3 linked regions of the Sus scrofa genome follow. The main gene of each other region encodes a partner of the protein of the gene in region 2 in a complex. Links are inferred from orthologs where the notes say so. Each region holds a gene or a part of one and is shown on either strand. Other genes may lie near its edges.

Region 1 (3,749 bases), on a different chromosome or scaffold from region 2:
AGAGATAAATATATTCCTAATATCCAGGACTCATCTCTTCCATCCCACGGTTTCAGGGAGAATTGCTTTACATTCTAATTGAAATTCACTTTTTCTCTGGTAAAGTGGGACATGGGTAATTATCCACAGAAAATCCCCAGGTCTCAAATCATAATTTGAACTTTTTTCTCATCACGAAACTCCTTTCCAGAGCGGCTTCTGTTTCAGCAGTGAAGTAGCTAGGGGGTAAAAATGGCATGATCCGAAGGTTACGTGCAAGTTTGTGTCCAGGGGAAAGCAAGGGGCCTGGATGATCTCCAGGGTAAACCAGAAAGTGTCCTCCTCAGTGCTGAGCTTGGTACCCCATGGTCTGTCTGAGATGGAGATTTGCAATTTGATGTTGGAAGCTTCCGAATGGGAAACTTTTCATAAAAAGTAGTCACCCTCTTGCAAATCATTTTTCAATGGCAAAAAATCCCTTATTTGAAAACCTAATGCCATACAGAATATGGTGACATGGCATCCTGGAGAAAATGCTAGGTGGGGTTTCAGGACCCCTGAGTCCTAAGCTGGCCATCCACCAATGGCCCTGTGATGGATCGTTCTCATCTTGTCAAATACGTTTCACTCAGTGACGTCCAAGGCCCTTTCTGTTTGAACGTTCTATGAATCCCCAAGCATAAACTTGACATTGCTCCAACCTAGTCTGACACTTGAAATACTCCTACTCTGTCTAACGTGTAATGTGGTCCGTCTCAGGTTAGGTGGGAATTTTTGCCAATCTGTCCCCAAGTGTGCCTCGTCAGGGCAAAGCACACATTCACCTCCTCTGCTTCCCTCTGTCTCTTTCAAAACCAGTGCTCATTAATGACTGTTAACGCTAAGCAGGACTTGATGGATTTGGTCCATTTAGGTGATGTCCAAATGGAATTAATTGAGTAGCAGGGTTTTCTTTTGCCAGGGTCTCTGCCTGTTATCTGTCTTTCTTGAGGCTTTGAGGACATCAAGTATAGAAAGCTTGCAAGAGATCCCGCTAAACATTTGTAGTTAGGACTTGTTGTTGCAATAAAGATCTCTTCTCACATCTGTGGGGTGTTCAAATTCCAGGTCCTTAGTCCAGGCTCCTGCTTTACATGAGAACCAGACAAAGTCCCTGCCGGGGGAACTCCAGTGCCTTGCAGTCACATGCACAGTCGCACGTGCTTCTGCCAAGACCCTGCCTTCTTTAGCCCTGGCCTGGCAGGGGCCAAAGTTTTGTTTGTTTTGTTTTAAGCTACTGAACTTACATAATATAGGGTGGGGATTTTTTCTGTCTTCTTCTCAGCATCAGAGCACTACTTGATTAGAATTAACATACTATTGAATTAACAAATGGATGCATGTATAAATGATTGCATGTGTTTTTTCCATAGTGAAACCGTGAATAATTTTCATTAGCATCTCTTTCCGCCTCTCCTCGTAGGAACTCACTCAGTGAACTGCCCCCTCTGATGCATCTCCAGTCTCTCTACTCTCTGCTGCTTGCTTTCCACTGGCCACAAAAATGCCGATTTCCCTGCAATCCAGTACCTCTTTCCTGCACTTGCCCTCCTTCTCAAAGTGCCTACACAGCTTTTCCCTTTCCTGGCAAAAGTGCTCTCTTTCTGCTTCTACTTCCCTTCCTCCCACTGAATGCCCACCCCACGCTGCTTTTGGCTTTTGCCCCTGAGATACTTTCCAACTGGCCAAAGGTTGGCCCATGGATAAAACTGCCTACTGGACAACTCCACCTAGGTGTTCTGTGGGCATCTAAACCCCAAATGTCCAAAACTGATCCCTCGTCTTCTTTCCAAATCAGTCCCTCCTTCTCCTATGGTGTGAATCTCAGTGACCCGGCATCGCCAGGACCCTGGTGCCCCAGTCGGAATCCCAGCCATCACCCCTAATTCCTTCTTCTCTCTCTTACTCCCAAGTGTCGTCATTCTACTGTGTTAATTTTTTTTATCTTTTCGCTGATCTCTGGTCATTCTGGCATACCTGGCATCTGACAACCGTCATCTCGTCTTTGAATTACCACCAACAAGCTCCTGACTCTACTTGCAATCTTACCTCTCCCCAGCCGCTGCGATCTTTCTAAAACCAAACGACATCACTTGGCATATTATATAGTTTTATTTTTGTCTATTTTCCCACCCTCCGCTCCAATATACATTCCTTGGAAATAGGAGCTTTACTTTTCTCACGACTGTTATTGGCAGAACAATGCCAGGCACATTGTAGACCCTTAATCAATATTTGTAGGGAAAATAGTGAGTATCTGTCACTATCCTGCTGAAAACTTTTCTCTAGGTCCCTGTGGCCCTCAGAAGAATCATTGTGTCATCATTACTCATGAAACACACACACCATGTGTACCAAGCACTGTTGTGAGTATTTTTCATCTCTTTTTTATTTAGTCCTCATACCAGGCTTGCAAGGTAGCCAGGCCTGATTGGGCCTAAATTTGCAGGCCAGGGCAAGAGTCTGAATAGAAGTCCATATGCCCTATTTCTAAATATTTTAAAATCATAGATCAAGCTATTAAGCTCTTAAATAAAATATGTTCTATTCTCCTATCTTGATATACACTGAAAAGCCAGATTCAAATTTAGAATTCTCAGATTTATAGAGTGTCCCATGCCACTGGAATATGACGACTTACCAAGCTTGCCTCTGGCCCACAGTTCACCCCCTTTTCTCTCACCCTCTATCCTGCCATCACATGCCAGAGGGGCCTCATTTTAACACAGGACATGCCAGCCTTCCCATCCAAGTGTCATTCATCTCCTTGTCACACAGCTACTCCTTGGCAACATCTCAGACCTAGGGTCCTGCCTGGAAGACACAGTCAGTCATCAAAGGGCAAAAACAGCTCACGGGAGTGTGCTCATGGCCACCAGACATAGGATTCTGTGATCTTGGCAATGAACACGATCTAGAAAGGGGATGTGAGGCCTGGGGGACCCTGACCCCTTAAATCCATTTAATAGATGAGAAAACAGGGTCACCAAGAGATAAGGATATGAACTGAAAATTTCACCTATCACTTCCGCACACATCCCAGTGGCCCAAACTTTAGTCCCATGCTGTTCCGTGCTGCAAGACAGGCTGGGTCACTCTAGCCGAGTGCCCACATGCCCTGCTAAGACTCGGGAGGGACGGGAGAAAGGAGAGCATGGACACTGGCTGCTGGAGGGGGGCGGTTATCAGATTTATGCCAGTTTAACCTACAAGTTTAAAACAAAGCGTTATGATCAGGGGCGTAGGAGCACTGGCTCAGTGCCTAGAGCATTCTGGCTCTTCAATACCCTTAGAAGATTTTTTACCTGAAAAAAGAAAGAAAGAAAGAAAGAAAGAAAGAAAGAAAGAAAGAAAGAAAGAAAGAAAGAAAGAAAGAAAAGAAAAAAGAATTACTGGCTCTGAAATACAAAAAGAAAGCTTTGGGAGTTCCCGTTGTGGCTCAGCAGGTTAAGGACCCAGCATGGTGTCCGTGAGGTTACAGGTTCCATTCCTGGCCTTCCTCGGTGGGCTAAGGATCTGGTGCTGCCACGAGCTTTGTTATAGGTCGCAGGTGTGGCTCCAAGCGTGGCTGTGGCTCTGGCGCAGGTCAGCAGCTATGGTTCTGATTCAGACCCCTAGCCTGGGAACTTCCGTATGCCAAAGGTGCAGCCCTAAAAAGAAAAGAAAACTTTTTTTAATTTTATTTTTTTAATTGTTATTTTCCCACTACAATTTCTTTTCCTACCGTACAA
Region 2 (3,749 bases):
CAAGTCAAATCAGTGTGGAAAAAAGTTTTTGAACATTCTAAGAAATAAGATTTATGAAAAAAGCCAGCATTCTGTTCATAGGAAGTAAGAGTGTTGGAACACTGGGCAAAAGGGTAGAGTAAAATGGGAGTGAGAGAGAGTAGAAGGGGAGGGAGTAAGACGCATGAGGAGGAGGAGGAGTTCCTCCACATGAACCAGACAAGGATGTGATGGGATATCTACAAAGAAAAGATGTAGGCAAGAGCAAAAGACTAAAACTTGAAAAGGGAGCTGAAGGAATTCAGTTACCCAAAGATTTTAAAGTCATGTTGAAAGCTTTCTAATGCTACTGGTATGGAGAAACAAAAGTTCTCTAATTTCTTCTCAAAATCATGACTCTGCTACCTCTTTCTCTTAACTCTCACTATAGTTGGCTATACAGATGCAACTTTTGGTTCTACATTACACATTCAGCTATATTTGTTAGTCTAGAACAGTGACTCTCCGCTAAGATTAAATTTTGCCCCCATGGGACGTTTTTGAGATATATGGAGACATTTTCTAGGGTCACGGGTGGAGGGGGCTGCTAAAAGGTGAAGGCCAAAATTTCTGCTAAACACCCTACAATGCACAAGACCGTCTGCACAACAAAGTATGATTCCACCCAAAATGCCAATAGTGCTAAGGCTGAGAAATACTGATCTCTTCTGACTAGAAGCAAAAACCAATTCCTTGAACCTTTCTTCTAGTCCATCTTTCTCTGCAAGATATCTATTTAAAGCATAAAACAACATTAGAGGACTCGTTTCTTGATGCTTTAAACATGGTGGATGGCTGGCTCAAACTGAGTGTCACACAATACAGTGAAATAATATATCGGAGCAGGAGTGCAGAAACTGCAGGAAAAAACTTCCCAAAATATTTTCCCCCATTTTCTTCTCAAGTACATTTGATTCTAAAGAGAAACACCTACTTGTTTCCATGCCAAGGTGTCACTCCTGTGCTCAATACACTGAAAATACAGTGACTTCCTCAAAAGACAATTATTTTCTTACTAATGTGAAAACTTAAGTAAACACTATTAACTGAAACAATTTCTGCTGTGGGGGGCGGGGGTGAAGAAAGCCACCAAGTCTTTAAAATGCAAAGTTATTACACAGTTTGCGTGCAGAATGACTCAGATCATTATTACTTTTAGTCATGCCAAGTTTGCTGCTTCTAAGCCTACTAGTAATGGAGAAAAAAACCCACCATTTTCCTGCAGTCACTAAACCAATGAAACAGAAGCTTACTGAAAACAGGTTTATGCAATAGTATTTCTCCTCTATTATAACTATTATAAAAATAAAAGCAATCGCTGGGAATGAAAACAAAGAAATCTTTCACCTACTTTACCTACAGGGTGTGTGTTGTTGGGGGTGTAGGGGTGGGAGGACAAGCAAACAAAAGAAAGCCCTAACTCACGCATCAACCAATCTTAAACTGAATATTTTCCTAATGCACATCTCAAAAACAATCCTGGCTTACTCTTTTTACGTTTCCTCCCTTCAAACAACTGGAAACGACCTCCTCCACATAGCGTTTCACCAGGAGAACAACACTAAGAACAAATAAAAGCCTCGCGGGTACCTGGCAAATCTCATTCATCAAAAACCGCGGCCAGCAGAGAGAGAATCCCGTTGTCTGGTGTGACCCATTCGCACCTTTCACAGTGGTTTTCAGCGCTGGAGTATCTTACTGAAGCCACTGTTACCTAACTTCAGTGATTTCCATGTCCCCACAGCAATAAAAATCCAGCATCCAGCGTAGCCTACTCCCTTAACACAAGGTAAATATAATCACTGCTCCTGTAACACTTACTGAGTCGCCATAGGAAGTTCACCAGAAAGACACATTTCAGTCCCTTGGAGGCCCCATAAAGGTTCACTGATTTCACAAAACGTGGCACTCCTGACACAGGAAAACCACAACCGCGACACGACACCTTGAATGAAGGGTTTTCGAGGGGGGCGGAGGGTGCTTTTATTCTCCCGGTGCCAATGCCCTTTCATCTGTATACAGCTGAGCTAACTTAAAAGAAAAAGGGGCTCCTCGCAGGTTCTGCACCGAGGCACGTCAGCGAAGTGAAGCTCCTGCGCCGCCGCGGGAGAGTTCTCCCCGGCCAGGGAGCAGAGGGGAAAGAGACCCGGGAAAGGGGCGCCCGCCTCGCCTCGCCTCCGCACCACACCACACAAGCTCGCCCTTCGAAACCCTCCTCCGGCGGGCTACAAGACGCGCCCTCGGCCGTTTTGGCACGTCCCCTCCGGGCTTCCCAACGCCAAGCCAGCAGCGGCCGCCGCGCCCAGCACATCCGCCCGACCCCCTGGGTGCCCCCAGCCGCCAGCCCGGCCCGGCTGCCCTTACCCAGCAGCAGCAGCTTGACCTCCCGCGCCGCCTTTTCGCCATCCTCGCGGAGGTTCCGGTCGATCATCTTACTCCGCTCCACCGCCGCCTTGTCCTCGGCGCTCAGCGTACAGCCCATTGTGCCAGAAGCAAGAGCTGCCCGCCACTCCCTTCAAGTCCGGCGCGCTGCCTCGAAACACAGGTGAAATCTTTCCTTCTGGGTGCGGGCGTTCGAATTCCTCCCGTCGCCGGCCACGCCACCCCCACCCAGTTCCGAAATGGAGTGTAGACAGCGCAGTCTGTAAAGGAGCAAGCAGCACCGCGCGCTTCTTCCCCCTCAGCGGGCTCTGCTCCTCGCCTCCCTCCGCGCCCCCGAAGTCCCGGGTCTCGAGGCTCAGGGCACACAGACTGGGGGCCTCCTGCCAGTAGCTGCGCGGCTGCCTCTAGAAGCCCGGAGCGGCTCGGCGTCCGCGCGCCGCCGCGGCCCCGCCCCTGCTCGGCCCCTCCCGCCACCCCGCGACCACTCCCAGAGCGCGCGCTCCCGCCAGAGCCCTCGGACTGCGCCCCCTCGGACGGGCGCGCGCGCCCGCGCTGCCGCGGACCCCGAAGCGGCGCAGCCCGGGAGGGCCCTCCTCCTTCCCGCGCGCGCCCCTGAGCCCCGGAACCCTGAACTGTCAGGCTAGCTCCCCTACCTCACTTCTTCCGCGGGAGTGTGATAATTTCCTCCCGTTTACTCACACCCAGGGATGTGTGCGGACCTGCCCCTTCGGGGTGCGGGTGGGAGAGCTGCCAAAGTTGGAAACCAAAAAAAGCCATTCCTGGGCGTTTGAGCATGCCCAGCTCTGGCAGCCACGCAAGGGTTTTCGACCTGTAAACCCGCGTCCAGCTTCCTGGGAAACATGGAGCTGGGGAGGGGATCGAGCCGTGGCGAAAGCACAGGTGGGGACAATGGGGGACAGAAAAGTCTGGGGCGGACAGAAGGTCAACTTTCTTCCGTTTCTATCTCCTTCCCTTCTCGCCGCTTCCATCCATTCTCAGATTCTTTTTCACAACCAGAGAACATTTTGAGGGATTTCCTCATAAACTGAGAAAGTGTGAGACAAAGAATCAAAGAGTATATTTTTAAATGACAAAGCCAGTAAAACACGCCCACACAAATATGCTCCACACCATAGCCGACGTCCTCTGCAGCGGTGTGTAAGCCTCCAAGCCAAGTTCTGAACCAATATTTACGACCATGTTAGTAAATCATAATCCACTGGACATGTCATTCATTGGCTTCCTCTCCCATAAAATGATATGGAGTTGATCCACACTATCGCTCCATCCTTCCAGCTGTACCTGGTCCGAGGGAGATGGCTCCTGTAGCCAGCAGAGGTATTTAACCC
Region 3 (2,263 bases), on a different chromosome or scaffold from region 2:
CCCGTGAGGTCGGGAAGGGAGGGCCCTGGAGGCTGGAAAGGGGGAGGAGGTGGCATCTGATCCACCCAAGTTCGTAACCCCCCTAAGTTGGGCTGGACTTGCCCCCTTTCTGAGTTGACTCTGGGCACCTGGGGGAGGGCCGGTGTCTGCCCCCCACCCCGCGGAGCCCAAGGGTTCCGTGCCCACCGGCACTGTCCTTATCAGGTCCTCCTCCCGGGCCCCAGCCCCCTGGCCCCGGCCTCGGTGCAGGAAGCTCCTTGGCCCTTCCCCCCAGCTCAGCTTCAGGCCCCACGCCCCTGGAGGCGGGGGGGGAGGTGGCGGGGGGAATCACAGCTGTCCTGGGGGTGGGGGCTGGGGCCGATACTCTCAAGCCTAGAGTGAGTCCTGCACAATGCCATGCCACGCTACCAAAGGGGTTCCCCCCAGGGGGGGGCACTGCCAGGCACGCATCTCTAGTTAGGACTAAACCTGTTAACCACTGCCCCCGCCTCTGCCCCCCACCACAGGTTCCCCTCCCCAGGTCCCTGACTGAGGTACGGGGGCTTGGCCACCCCCACGAAGTCCTCGGGAATCAGCACCAATAAAAAAATACACTTTACTGTGGACTCTGGGGTCTGCAGGGCAGCACAGCAGGTATGGGAGCTGGGCATGCAGGGCGCCCACTGGGTGTGTGGGATATGGTGAAGCAACCCCTCTGCTGGACCCCGGCCCCTGTCCCCTCCCCTGACAGCCCCAGGGGACTCTGACAGCAGATGGGGCGGGAGGGGCAGCCTTCCCGACGACCAGGCGGCCAGGCTCCAGCCGCTCTCAGAGCCTCCAGTCCGGCCCCGCACCCGGAGCTGGGGGCGGGGTGGGCAGAGACAGCTGGCACTGCTCGGCCGGAAGCAGCAGCACGAGGAAGGAGGGCGTGGGAGCCCACACCTGCCAGTCCAGCCCTGAGCTCCTCAGCAATTTTCTCTCTCTTGATTAAACATCCAAGGAACATCAAGTTCACGGACGCGTTTTCTCCTTCTCCGTCTTCCCTGAAACTCCCAGGATGGAGAAGCGAGACGTGCCAGAGGCTCCTTGGTGGGCATCTGGCACTTTGGGTCACAGAAAGTTGGCAGAAAGAGGGATGAAGGGGCCTGGCCCCGGACTTAAGCAGGAGACAGCAGCGAAGCTAGCGTCCGGGGCTCGTCTGGGACGAGGCGGGTGTGCGGGGGTGTGCACGTGCGGGGCCAGGGCACCAGCTCTGGAGGCTTGGAGCACACGCCAAACGCTTGCTCTGGGAAGATCACCAAGCAGTAACTGCGAAGGGTGGACACCACTGGCCATCGCACTGTCCGTGGGGGGTGGACAGAGTGCCTGGGACCCCTGGGTTGGCCCTCTGGGGCAGAGCAGGACGGGGGCAGCCACATCCTGGTTCGGGCAGCGAGGGCCCTTCCAGACGGCCCACCGGGCTGCCTCAACTGCCAGCGGAAGGGATGAGAGAGGCTGCCATGGCCTTGAGGGTGGGCCGGAGACAAGGCATGGCTCAGCCCTGGGGGCGGCCAGGGGGCGGGGGGCGAGGCCCGGCTGCTTGGGAAGCCAGGACCTGGAGGGGGCGGCAAGGGAGGGCCTGTCCCCCCACAGCCCAGGTGCCCAGGGAGGCCGGCTCACTTCCAGCAGTGCTCCAGGGAGCTGTGGGGCTGGAGCTTGAGCTTCTGGGGGCAGAGCAGCTTGGCGAAGGCTCGGCGGAAGCTGTAGTGGCACAGCGGGTAGAGGACGGGGTTGACGGCCGAGTTGGCCCACAGCAGCCAGAAGGACGTCTCGTACCAGTAGTCGGGGACGCAGCGGCCGTGGCAGGCCGCCCGGATGATCATCAGGAGTGTGTAGGGGGCCCAGCAGAGCCCGAAGATGCTCACGATGACCGCCAGCGACTTGGCCACCTTCTTGTCCCGCGAGAGCCGGAAGCGCTGGGTGACGCTCTGCGACACCATCTTCATGCGCTTCTCCAGGGACGCCGAGGACGCGGACGGCTTGGAGCCCCTCTTCAGCGAGCGCGGCCGCTCCGTGCCCCTCGAGGAGCTGCCGGAGCTGGAGGTGGGCGAGGCCGCGGCACCCCCTCCGCTGCCGCCGCCGAGGGCCGCCTCCCTGGCCTCGGTGCCCGGGGCCCCCTCGCCGACCCCGACCCCACACCTGTGCAGCGGCACAGCCTCCCCGCACCCCTTCTGCCAGCAGCCCCAGCAGCTGGGCACGGCCGCGGGCGGGGACGGCTGGGCCTCGGGCGGGAGCTCCGGGGCGG

Evidence for each region.
Region 1: the proteins of GNAI1 (region 2) and GPR88 are in contact, whole or in part, in a cryo-EM structure (PDB 7EJX), measured with the Homo sapiens proteins. The link is inferred for Sus scrofa from reciprocal best matches to the Homo sapiens genes GNAI1 and GPR88. Residues at the interface, in NP_002060.4 of Homo sapiens: Arg24, Glu28, Ala31, Arg32, Tyr320, Asp337, Ala338, Thr340, Asp341, Ile344, Asn347, Leu348, Lys349, Asp350, Cys351, Gly352, Leu353, Phe354; in NP_071332.2 of Homo sapiens: Ser66, Arg138, Leu141, Ile142, Pro146, Ala147, Gln150, Gln154, Ile215, Arg218, Val219, Ser222, Val223, Arg225, Val226, Ser285, Val286, Tyr336, Arg339, Asn340.
Region 3: the proteins of GNAI1 (region 2) and HRH3 are in contact, whole or in part, in a cryo-EM structure (PDB 8YUU), measured with the Homo sapiens proteins. The link is inferred for Sus scrofa from reciprocal best matches to the Homo sapiens genes GNAI1 and HRH3. Residues at the interface, in NP_002060.4 of Homo sapiens: Ala31, Arg32, Glu33, Val34, Leu194, Thr219, Lys314, Asp315, Glu318, Ile319, Tyr320, Thr321, Thr340, Asp341, Ile343, Ile344, Asn347, Leu348, Lys349, Asp350, Cys351, Gly352, Leu353, Phe354; in NP_009163.2 of Homo sapiens: Asn69, Asp131, Arg132, Ser135, Val136, Ala139, Val140, Ser141, Tyr142, Arg143, Ala144, Gln146, Ile221, Ile225, Arg228, Arg232, Phe344, Thr345, Phe348, Arg349, Arg352, Asp353, Lys355, Val356, Ser359, Leu360, His416, His417.

What each region holds. Positions count from the first base shown.
Region 1 is NC_010446.5:117,620,993-117,624,741, forward strand, and holds the start of GPR88 (probable G-protein coupled receptor 88), read right to left. Parts: upstream 2,761-3,749; 5' UTR 1-2,760. UniProt on the Homo sapiens protein: Orphan G protein-coupled receptor implicated in a large repertoire of behavioral responses that engage motor activities, spatial learning, and emotional processing. May play a role in the regulation of cognitive and motor function.
Region 2 is NC_010451.4:100,269,421-100,273,169, forward strand, and holds the start of GNAI1 (guanine nucleotide-binding protein G(i) subunit alpha-1), read right to left. Parts: upstream 2,855-3,749; 5' UTR 2,501-2,854; coding exon 2,383-2,500; intron 1-2,382. UniProt on the Homo sapiens protein: Guanine nucleotide-binding proteins (G proteins) function as transducers downstream of G protein-coupled receptors (GPCRs) in numerous signaling cascades.
Region 3 is NC_010459.5:61,622,305-61,624,567, forward strand, and holds the end of HRH3 (histamine H3 receptor), read right to left. Parts: coding exon 1,635-2,263; 3' UTR 561-1,634; downstream 1-560. UniProt on the Homo sapiens protein: The H3 subclass of histamine receptors could mediate the histamine signals in CNS and peripheral nervous system. Signals through the inhibition of adenylate cyclase and displays high constitutive activity (spontaneous activity in the absence of agonist).